Linked DNA regions of Mus musculus: regions 1 and 3 are each reported to be linked to region 2. Evidence: microRNA targets listed by miRTarBase, many of them from high-throughput screens and not tested one by one. Region 2 holds a microRNA gene; each other region holds the end of a gene's coding sequence.
The links. The annotated mature microRNA mmu-miR-1954 reads ACUGCAGAGUGAGACCCUGUU and lies in region 2 at 1,357-1,377, opposite strand. An mRNA with a match to its seed (bases 2 to 7 or 8) in the 3' UTR can be bound and repressed. Matches are read on the target gene's strand: a 7mer-m8 pairs with bases 2 to 8, a 7mer-A1 pairs with bases 2 to 7 and ends in A, and an 8mer does both.

Region 1: the mRNA of Itga9 is a reported target of mmu-miR-1954. Seed matches in the 3' UTR shown: 7mer-A1 at 1,823-1,829, 7mer-m8 at 967-973, 7mer-A1 at 922-928 and 8mer at 418-425.
Region 3: the mRNA of Hnf1a is a reported target of mmu-miR-1954. Seed matches in the 3' UTR shown: 7mer-A1 at 1,292-1,298.

Annotation. Positions count from the first base shown.
Region 1 is chr9:118,896,912-118,900,165 of GRCm38, reverse strand. It overlaps Itga9 (integrin alpha 9), which reads right to left. Exons shown (of 28, transcript NM_133721.2): 28 at 1-2,932. The coding sequence ends at 2,834. Among named protein-coding and RNA genes, the nearest start is that of Gm51695, 11 kb to the right of the region's middle.
Region 2 is chr2:32,650,465-32,653,718 of GRCm38, reverse strand. Mir1954 (microRNA 1954) reads right to left here and starts at 1,390; the gene lies at 1,305-1,390. The region is part of intron 1 of Eng (endoglin); the gene reads right to left.
Region 3 is chr5:114,947,298-114,950,551 of GRCm38, reverse strand. It overlaps Hnf1a (HNF1 homeobox A), which reads left to right. Exons shown (of 10, transcript NM_009327.3): 10 at 367-1,572. The coding sequence ends at 491. It overlaps 2210016L21Rik (RIKEN cDNA 2210016L21 gene), which reads right to left. Exons shown (of 6, transcript NM_028211.1): 6 at 2,012-2,870. The coding sequence ends at 2,555. Among named protein-coding and RNA genes, the nearest start is that of 2210016L21Rik, 6.7 kb to the right of the region's middle.

The DNA of each region.
Region 1 (3,254 bases), not on the chromosome of region 2:
GGGTCACTGGTCCCCGGGGTGTCCCAACAGCATGCTGTTTATTGAGACTTTCCCTTGCCTTTGGCTTTAGTAGGTCATGTGATATTTGGTGCGTGGGGGTGGGTTGGGTAGGGGGTTGAGTGGTAGAGCACAAGGATAGATGGATGGGGGACTCGGACAGACAACTTCATGCAGCCTGTCAAACCGCTGGGCCCTGAGGTGCTTTCCCAAATCATTGCCTGAGACCACAGTGGCAGGACACAGGGTGTGCGCTAGTCAATCGACCAGCCCCTCTTGCTGGTGTTCTTGTTTGTCTACGTCATAGCCTTTCTGTGGCAGGGTTCACTTTGGGGATGCTCTAGTCTTTCTTGAGCTGGTTAAACCCACAGAAGACACAACTGAAAAACAAGCAGGCTATTGATAGCGCCCTGGAGAACGTCTGCAGAATGAACTCAGAGGCAGAGGAAGGCTACAACAGGCGACACAGTGGGCTTTTAAAAAGAATGTTCTAGAAAGAGCTAACACAGGCACATCAATCCACCTGCCCACTTTTCCTGATCCCTGGAGGGAGACTGGGATGGAGACATTGAACAACTCAGCTGAGAGAATTCCAAGACAATGCTCCACCCCTTTCCCTGCCTCTGTGCCAGGCAGCCACACCCCTAGCTCTCAACATTATCAGATAGGCAAAGAGGCCTCCTCTCCCCTATGGTGCCTTTTAGGATTTGCTTCCTGAGCAACCATATAGTTTCCTTAAAATCTGCCTCCTGAAGTTGTATCGACATCTGAGCATGTGACTAGTCATGGCGGTTCACCATTTGAGATCCAGCTGAGTGGCCAGATTCTAGCTGAGTCTGCCCTTCCTGCCTTCCACACTTTCTCAGGTGCAGCTCTGCTGGCTAGCTGAGTTATGCATCCTTCTCCATTGATGCAGTCATACCCTCTGCAGGAAGTAAGCCAGTGGGGACAAATGCATTTTGAGTATAACTGCAGATGGTTCTGTAGTGGTCTCACCACCTGAGACTCTCAAATGATTTATTAAAGGAAACCATGACACAATTCACGATCATCACAGGACAGCTGCAAATGGGGTTCATGAAGAATCCACACTCTGCACCTATTGTGGGAGGCTTACCACCCTGAGGCACGAGGGGACTGTGTTCTCAGGGGATCCACCAGGATAGTGCCTGACTACAGATCAGGATGTACATGGCTGGTAAAGCCAAGACTTCTTTCTTCTTTCTTTTGATAAAACTTAAAAGAGCTGGGTGTGCACTGTTTTTTTTTTTGGGGGGGCTGCCCCTTCCTTGTAGTGAGTTTGACTTGGTCATGGGTCAGATGTAATGTTTGACTCCTAGGACCAGCTTAGACTCATGGCTTTTTTGGCTACACAAAGCTGAAGGTAGCATTCACTTGTGTGGGGGAGGGGAGCACTAAAGCTCTTGGCTCAGAGTTCTTTGCATGATTTGTGGATCTCCTTACTTGAGGGTGCCCCCCAAAGTTCTCCTCTAGAGGACAGAGTCATCTTGTCAGCAAGACCTAAGGGCAGAAAGTTTATATCCCCTGCAGGCGTGGCATCACAAAAGTCCAGGTTCCTGAGTCTGACTTGCTCATTAGATCCAACTGGTTTGAAGCCACCTCGTGGGTTGTCCCCTGAAAGGACACTGTTGCCTGGCTCCCTGTACTCTCCTGTCTTGTATTCTCAACTTCCTCACTGTTACCTTCTGGGAAGACTTCCTCAATAAATTATTTACACCCAAGTCCTATTTCAGGGTTCGACTCTTGAGAATTCCACCTAAGACATAAACACAAACCATGTGGGGTGATCCTCTCTGGGGAGGTATCTGCAGCACCACCAGTTGGGGACAGCAAGAGTGACAGAGGAAATGGAGAGTCTTGTGTTAACATTATACCACAAGGTAACAGCTTACACACAGAGAAAACAGGCCTTTGCTGAGAGAGCACAGCTTCGGTCCTGGGCTCTGAACTCTGACACATGTTGTTTAGGATGAGATGCTATTCTGAGGTTGACCAGTTGTCCATCCAGCACTTGCTGACTCCAGAAGAGGGTTTAGTGCCTGCTGCATGTATCAGTGTGGTACAGAGCAACTGCTGAGAGGAAACCAAGCTTTCCATCCCAGTTCCTGCTGAGAATCTCCCAGTGAGAGGTCCATAAGAGAAAACACCGATACTTCAAGCTCTCTGAACTTAACTCCGGGTGGTAACAATGGGGAATAAATGTCTTAGGCGGCCTTGCCATGTCCTTTGTGCTTTCCCAGTGCCTCCAGCTTGGTGGATTCATTTCATGAGGTTTCTTCAGTTTGTTTTATCTGCAAGTTTTTTTTTTCTTCCCTAACAACAAGTTCCAAAGTAGAATAAGTTCCTTCTCTTTTAAAATTTGTATGCAGGGACATGTATTTCCAAGATTTCAGTGCTTGAGTGAATTATAGAACTATTTAATAGAAATAATAAAACATTGATACAAATATAAAGACATGATCAATATAAAAGGCTTACATTTATAAAAAATACTTTTAGGTAACAGTTTTCCCCTGAGGGTTGACCACGCAATGTTGCATCCATAAATATTGCTTTGCTCTGTAGCTTGCCTTTCCAAAGTTCTAAGTTCATCTTGCGAAGGGGAGTGGTGGTGGCCCCAGTCATGTGACCTGGCTGGAGGGGTGGCCATCTCAGGTCGGCACCGGGCTTGACGGGATGAGGAAGAGAACAGCATCAGTGGGGCCTCCGAAAAATCTGGAGAAGATTTCTTTCTTCCAAATATGAAAGATACAAAGATCAAGGACCACAGGCTGGTGATGGGGACATGAGGGCATCACATGACTGGCACGGTGGGTCACTGGTTTTTCTGGACCCAGTCCCAACCATCTTCATTCTCTTTCCGGTTTTTCTCAGCTTCAATGATCTCTTTGTACCTTCTGCGGAAGAAGCCCATCTGAAAGACAGAAGACACTCTGCGTTAGGACTGGATCTGTGTGCCAAGGCAGACTGAGCTATGGGGAGGCAGGACCTAGCCCTTCCCAGGGCTGGGGATGCTAGAAGAATGTCTCGGGTCACCACACTGACTTCCTAAAGTCTATCTCCCAGCAAGCCATTCAGTACTCTGGAACAGTGTTACCACAGCACTGGGTGCTGGAAAACATCACTTACTGCAGGTTATTCAAAGGTATTTGGAGCAGTGAAAAAGATAAACATGTCACAGTCAGTGAATTCTGGAGAAGCTGCGTTCTTCTAGAAATCTGTGATAGACTGTAGTA
Region 2 (3,254 bases):
AGTGTGTACCTGCATGTGTGTTTGTGTGCCATGTGCTGGCAGTGCCCCTCAGAGGGCAAAAAGGGGCATCAGGACCACTGGAACTGGAGCTATGGACAGTTGTAAGCTGCCATGTGGGCTCTGGGAACCAAATCTGGGTCCCCTACAAGAATGGCAAGTGCTGGCTACTGCAGAGTCACCTGTCTAGACCCTAGTGACCACATTTTATTGATAGCCTGACCAACTTGTCTCAACTGTCAAAACCACTGTTGGCCGGGTGTGGTGGCGCACGCCTTTAGTCCCAGCACTCGGGAGGCAGAGGCAGGCAGATTTCTAAGTTCCAGGCCAGCCTGGTCTACAGAATGAGTTCCAGGACAGCCAGGGCTACATAAAGAAACTCTGTCTCAAAAAACAAAAAGAAACACAAAAACAAAAATAATCAAACAAAAAAACCCACTGTGGCCTCTTCTTGAAGCAGGTGCCTCCTAGCCTCCTGCTGGTGGTAGCAACGGGGAGACAGCACTCAGCTTCAATCTCAGCACTCGGAAGGCAAAGGCAGATGGATCTCTCTAAATTCAAGGACAGCCTGGTCTATAGGGTGAGTTCAAGGACAACCAGGGCTGCACAGAGAAACCTTATCTCAAAAAAGCCAAAACAAACAAGCAAACAACAAAAACAACAAAACCCAAACCACGACGACCACCACCAAAACAAAAGGGAGAGAAAGAGGAAGGGGAGAGGGGAGAGGTACTTCCTTAGGTCTGTGGGCCCCCCCTCTCCCCGATGTCTTAGAGTCAGGTGGTACTTCACTGCCTTTATCTGTTTTGATGGTTTGGGCAGTTTTGTTTCTCATGTGTGTGTGGGTAAGTGTGTAAGGGTGTATGCGTGCTTGTGCATGTGTGCAATTTACACCCAGGATCCTCAGCACCACCTCCTTGCTGATGGAGATAGTCTTTCACTAGCCTGGGGCTCACTGGGCAGACTGAGCTGAATAGCCAGTGACCCCCAGGGAGCTTCCCAGCTCCTACTCACTAGCATGTGGATTGCTCTGCCCAGCGCCACGCCCGGTTGTTTTTATTAAATTTATTACTATTATTTATTATTATTATTGTCATCATCATCATCAACATTACTGAGTGAGCTCTGGGCACGGAATGCAGGTCCTCAGTGTTTGCATAGCAAATGCTTACTAGATGAACATTCTCCCCATTTATGACAGGGTCTTAGCCAGAGAGCGGTGGTGCACACCTTTGATCCCAGCACTCAGGACACAGAGTCAGGCAGATCTCTGAGTTCAAGGCCAGCCTGGTCTCCAGAGTGAGTTCTAGGATAGCCAGGGCTACACAGAGAAACCCCGTCTCAAACAAACAAACAAACAACAGGGTCTCACTCTGCAGTTCTGGCTGACCTCATTGACCTCTCAGGCAGTCTCACCTGCCATCTCCTTGTCCTGAGTGATGGCTTTAGAGGTGTGTGCCACCACTCCTGGCCTGTGTTCTTGTTGTGTTGTTTCACATGCATTTATTTTTCTCTGTATGAGTCTTTTATATGTATGTATGTATGTATATAGGTATGCATGTGTGTATATACGCATGCATGTATGTATGCATGTATTGTGTGTATGCATGCATGTGTGTATATATGTATATGTGTGCATGCATGTGTATGTATGCATATATGTACCTATTTTTATATGTATGTGTATTATGTACATATGTATGTATGTGTGTATGTATTTGTATGTATGTGCGCCATAACCATGGGAACAAAATCTGGGTCCTCTGAAGGAACAAGTGTTCTTAACCACTGAGCCATCTCCCAACCTCTGGTTTTCTCTTTTTAAGATTCAATTAATGTGTGTGTGTGTATGTGTGTGTGTGTGTGTGTGTGTGTGTGTGTGTGTATGTGTACAGGTGCCTGCACTGGATCCCCTAGTGCTGGAGTTAAAGACAATTGCGAACTATGTGATATGGATTCTGGGAACCCAACTCATGTCCTCCAAATGCTCCCCAGTGCTGGGTTGCTTTGTGAGACGGGATTCCCCACAGCCCAGGCTGCCCTGAAACTGACTATGGATGTGGAACGCATCTAGAATTCTTGATTCTCTTGTCTCAGTCTCCCAAGTGCACCCATACTTGGTTGCAGCTGTTTAGCTTTGTCTAAGAGGGACGGCCATTGCCGGGCTGAGACGGTGGGGGCACGGGGGCAAATCTCAAACCACAGGAAGATGCTTGTCCATCCCCTTAGGTAACTCATGGAAACGGCTGGTCCAAGGTTCAGGGACATGGCTATCCACTCTAATTTGTGTTACTTAGCAATTGCTCTTATCTCCTAGTCTCCTCATCTGCAACAGAGGGGTAACAGCCTAGACTAGTGCCAGTGCTGGTATACAGTAAGCGCCACATAAATGCCAACTGGCATACCCAGCACCCTACTTACACATCCATGTTAAATCCAATTTACTCTGGAATGGGCACCCCACCTCAACTTGCAGAATTGCTGCCCCAACGCCTGGTCTGGAGGAAAAGGTAGAACCCAGAACTGGGCCCCCAGAGTTCTAAATCTCCTGTGCCTAGCCACCAAACGGCCCAGAGAGGAGGCTGGGTTAGAGCAGACAGCCTGGGGTGGAAATCAGGGCCTGTCACTGAGAACTGCCAGACCTGCCTGAAGACCCCAGAGCACACGGAGCAGGCCTGTCCTCCAAGGTCCCAGCACTGGTCCACATGTGACACAGAGCAAGTCCTCTGTCCCTCTGTCTCTCTGGCTGAGGTGAGAGAAAATCTTTTTTTTTTTAACTGTTTAAGATTTATTTTATTATTCGTGTGTATGTGTGCATGCCTGCATGAGCTTATGCGCACTACATGGATGTGTGCATGTGACTGTGGCAGCCAGAGGACATGGGATTCCCTAGAACTGGAGTTACAGGTGGTTTTAATGTGAATAAGTTGAATCTGGGTGTGGAGAGAGAATGTCCCAATAGTGGTCGCAGGAGTGGTCATGTCCTCATAGGTCTCAGGGAGCTACTGTCCTGACTAATGCAGTTCTTTGTTCATCCCTCTTTCCTTCTGGAATGTGACCTCGAAACCATAGATTCAATCTCTGCCCTTTGCCACCAGCTCCTTCTGCACTGAATCCAAGATTCCCAGCCATCGGTAAGGAAGTTTCAGGTCATTCTCCGCCCCAGCCGCAGGCAAATGACACCTACTGTTTGAGACACTGCTCAGCCACAGGTGCCTAACCCCAGTCACCAGGCTCATGCCACAAGTGCCAGGAGC
Region 3 (3,254 bases), not on the chromosome of region 2:
ATGCATATATTATGTATGTGAGTGTATAGGTGCTCTACACACACATGCAGAGGCCAGAGGAGGTTGTTTTGTGTTTTTTCCTGTTTGCTTGGGGTTTTGTTTTTGTTTTTTTGAGGCAGGGTTTCTCTGTATAGTTCTGGTGTCCTGGAACTCACTCTGTAGACTAGGCTGGCCTCGAACTCAGAAATCCGCCTGCCTCTGCCTCCCAAGTGCTGGGATCAAAGGCATGTGCCACCACCGCCTGGCTGGTGATTCAGAATGTGAGGCTCTGCTGTCTCTCCCTGGAGCATCACTAAGAGATGGGCAGGTGGGGTAGGGGTCGGAGGGGACTTGGCCAACAGCTAGTAACCTCATTTGCTTCTGCAGTGTCCTCCAGCAGCCTGGTGTTGTATCAGAGTTCCGACTCCAACGGGCACAGCCACCTGCTGCCATCCAACCATAGTGTCATCGAGACTTTTATCTCCACCCAGATGGCCTCCTCTTCCCAGTAACCGTGGTGACTGCCTCCCAGGAGCTGGGTCCCCAGGGCCTGCACTGCCTGCATAGGGGGTGAGGAGGGCCGCAGCCACACTGCCTGGAGGATATCTGAGCCTGCCATGCCACCTGACACAGGCTGCTGGCCTTCCCAGAAGTCTACGCATTCATTGACACTGCTGCTCCTCCATCATCAGGAAGGGATGGCTCTGAGGTGTCTCAGCCTGACAAGCGAGCCTCGAGGAGCTGGAGGACGGCCCAATCTGGGCAGTATTGTGGACCACCATCCCTGCTGTTTAGAATAGGAAATTTAATGCTTGGGACAGGAGTGGGGAAGCTCGTGGTGCCCGCACCCCCCCAGTCAGAGCCTGCAGGCCTTCAAGGATCTGTGCTGAGCTCTGAGGCCCTAGATCAACACAGCTGCCTGCTGCCTCCTGCACCTCCCCAGGCCATTCCACCCTGCACCAGAGACCCACGTGCCTGTTTGAGGATTACCCTCCCCACCACGGGGATTTCCTACCCAGCTGTTCTGCTAGGCTCGGGAGCTGAGGGGAAGCCACTCGGGGCTCTCCTAGGCTTTCCCCTACCAAGCCATCCCTTCTCCCAGCCCCAGGACTGCACTTGCAGGCCATCTGTTCCCTTGGATGTGTCTTCTGATGCCAGCCTGGCAACTTGCATCCACTAGAAAGGCCATTTCAGGGCTCGGGTTGTCATCCCTGTTCCTTAGGACCTGCAACTCATGCCAAGACCACACCATGGACAATCCACTCCTCTGCCTGTAGGCCCCTGACAACTTCCTTCCTGCTATGAGGGAGACCTGCAGAACTCAGAAGTCAAGGCCTGGGCAGTGTCTAGTGGAGAGGGTACCAAGACCAGCAGAGAGAAGCCACCTAAGTGGCCTGGGGGCTAGCAGCCATTCTGAGAAATCCTGGGTCCCGAGCAGCCCAGGGAAACACAGCACACATGACTGTCTCCTCGGGCCTACTGCAGGGAACCTGGCCTTCAGCCAGCTCCTTTGTCATCCTGGACTGTAGCCTACGGCCAACCATAAGTGAGCCTGTATGTTTATTTAACTTTTAGTAAAGTCAGTAAAAAGCACGTGGAAGCTTCCTGACTGTCCATCAGTGGCCAGGAGGGAAGGCAGAGCGAAGCCCCGTACATGTTTACACATCTTTTTGTTTAACTGGAAATGAGGCGACTCTGCCTGAATCTGTGTGTCCTTGTTACTGCAAGAAACCCACCTGGTACTCCAAGTGTGCTACCATTCCCTGGAGTCCTGAAGCTGGGGTGACAGAGGGAGCCACCTGTGGTTTTTATATAAGATGCCCCCTTAACATTCGGCACAGAGGAGGTGGCTCAGTGGCCCAATATCTGCGTGGTAAGTGGGATGCCCCGGTTTGATTCCCCAGCACTGACGGTCGTTGGTGTAACTGCACAGGAGGCAAACCAGGAGACTGGCCAGCTGGAGCTACACAGAGACTCTTCTAGACAATAAGACAAAAATGATCAGCACTGACCAGGGCAGAGCTAGTGTAGGTCTTGGGACACGTGAGAATTTATTTTCCTTTTTCTCTTTCTTAGGGCCTTGTACCCAAGCCTGCATGCAGCCTAGCACTAAGCAGGTGCTCTGGCACCTGACTGTCAGTGACTGACTTACCTGTGGTATTAACAAGTCAACATGTTACAGACAAATGTGGGGAGAGGAGGAGGTGGGGGAGACCTTCCCTTCTTTTCCAGACAATGTTCTTAAGTCTGGGGGAGAGGTACTAAAATTTTTCTGGGGCCTCGGCAGCTTGGAGACCCCTGCCCATCATTCTCTAGGACAACTGTCATGCAAGGCTGCACAGGCTGGGGAGATGGATGCTCTGAGATTCAGTCCAAAAGCTGGGGAACGTTCTGGAACCACAAATCTATTCCAGGCCTCTCCTCATACACCCACTCCATTGCTTGGACTCTTGGCCAAGCCCACCTAAAGTCACCCTGGGCAGTCATTGTGGGAAGCTGGAAACTGGGAGTGTGGCTTGGCTCTGCCCTAACTCCATGGGCACCTGATCCTCAGGGCTGGACCTACAGCTTGGGGTCAGTTCTCAGGCTTCGCCGCTGCACACTCTGCTGGTGGGCACAGGGGAGCCTCTCTGGATTTCTTGGCCTTCTTCTTTTTCTTCTTTTGGATCCCAAGCGACACCGGGTCCCCATTGACAACGCCTGCCTCCTTTACCTGTTCCAGACCTGGGGCTGCAGCCAGGTCAGCATTGTCCACCTTCTTCTTGGCTTTCTTTTTCAACTTCTTCTTCTCCTCTGCCTTGGCAGGGCAGTGTATGGCTGACTCCTGGAGAATGTCTGAAGCCGACACAGCTGCCTCCCGGCACCGCTGCAGTTCCTCATCGCTGTCCTCACTGTCACCATGGCGAGTAGTCAGGTTAGCTGGACGGGTCTCCGAGCTGCCTGGTTGCCTCCGGACCAGATGGAGGCAGCCAAGTAGCTCAGGCTCGAGTCAGCTTCTCTGCTCGTCAGTCACATGGCTGCATTAAGTACCCGAAGCCTCTGACCCTTAGTAGTCTCATCTACAATGAGGGCCCTGACAGTGTCCAAACCTCATAGAGCTTCTTCTCAGGAGACAAGGATGATAAAGGCGGGACTCTGGCCCAAGATGGCTGCTCTTGAAAACCATGGGATTTCCCCCTCCCCCCCCCAGAAGACCCTGTGCCTTCCTGCTGGGGGAATACTTTGCCTTATTATCTCATGATCTCTTGCTCCGTCTGAGCCTGACTGGGGTTGCT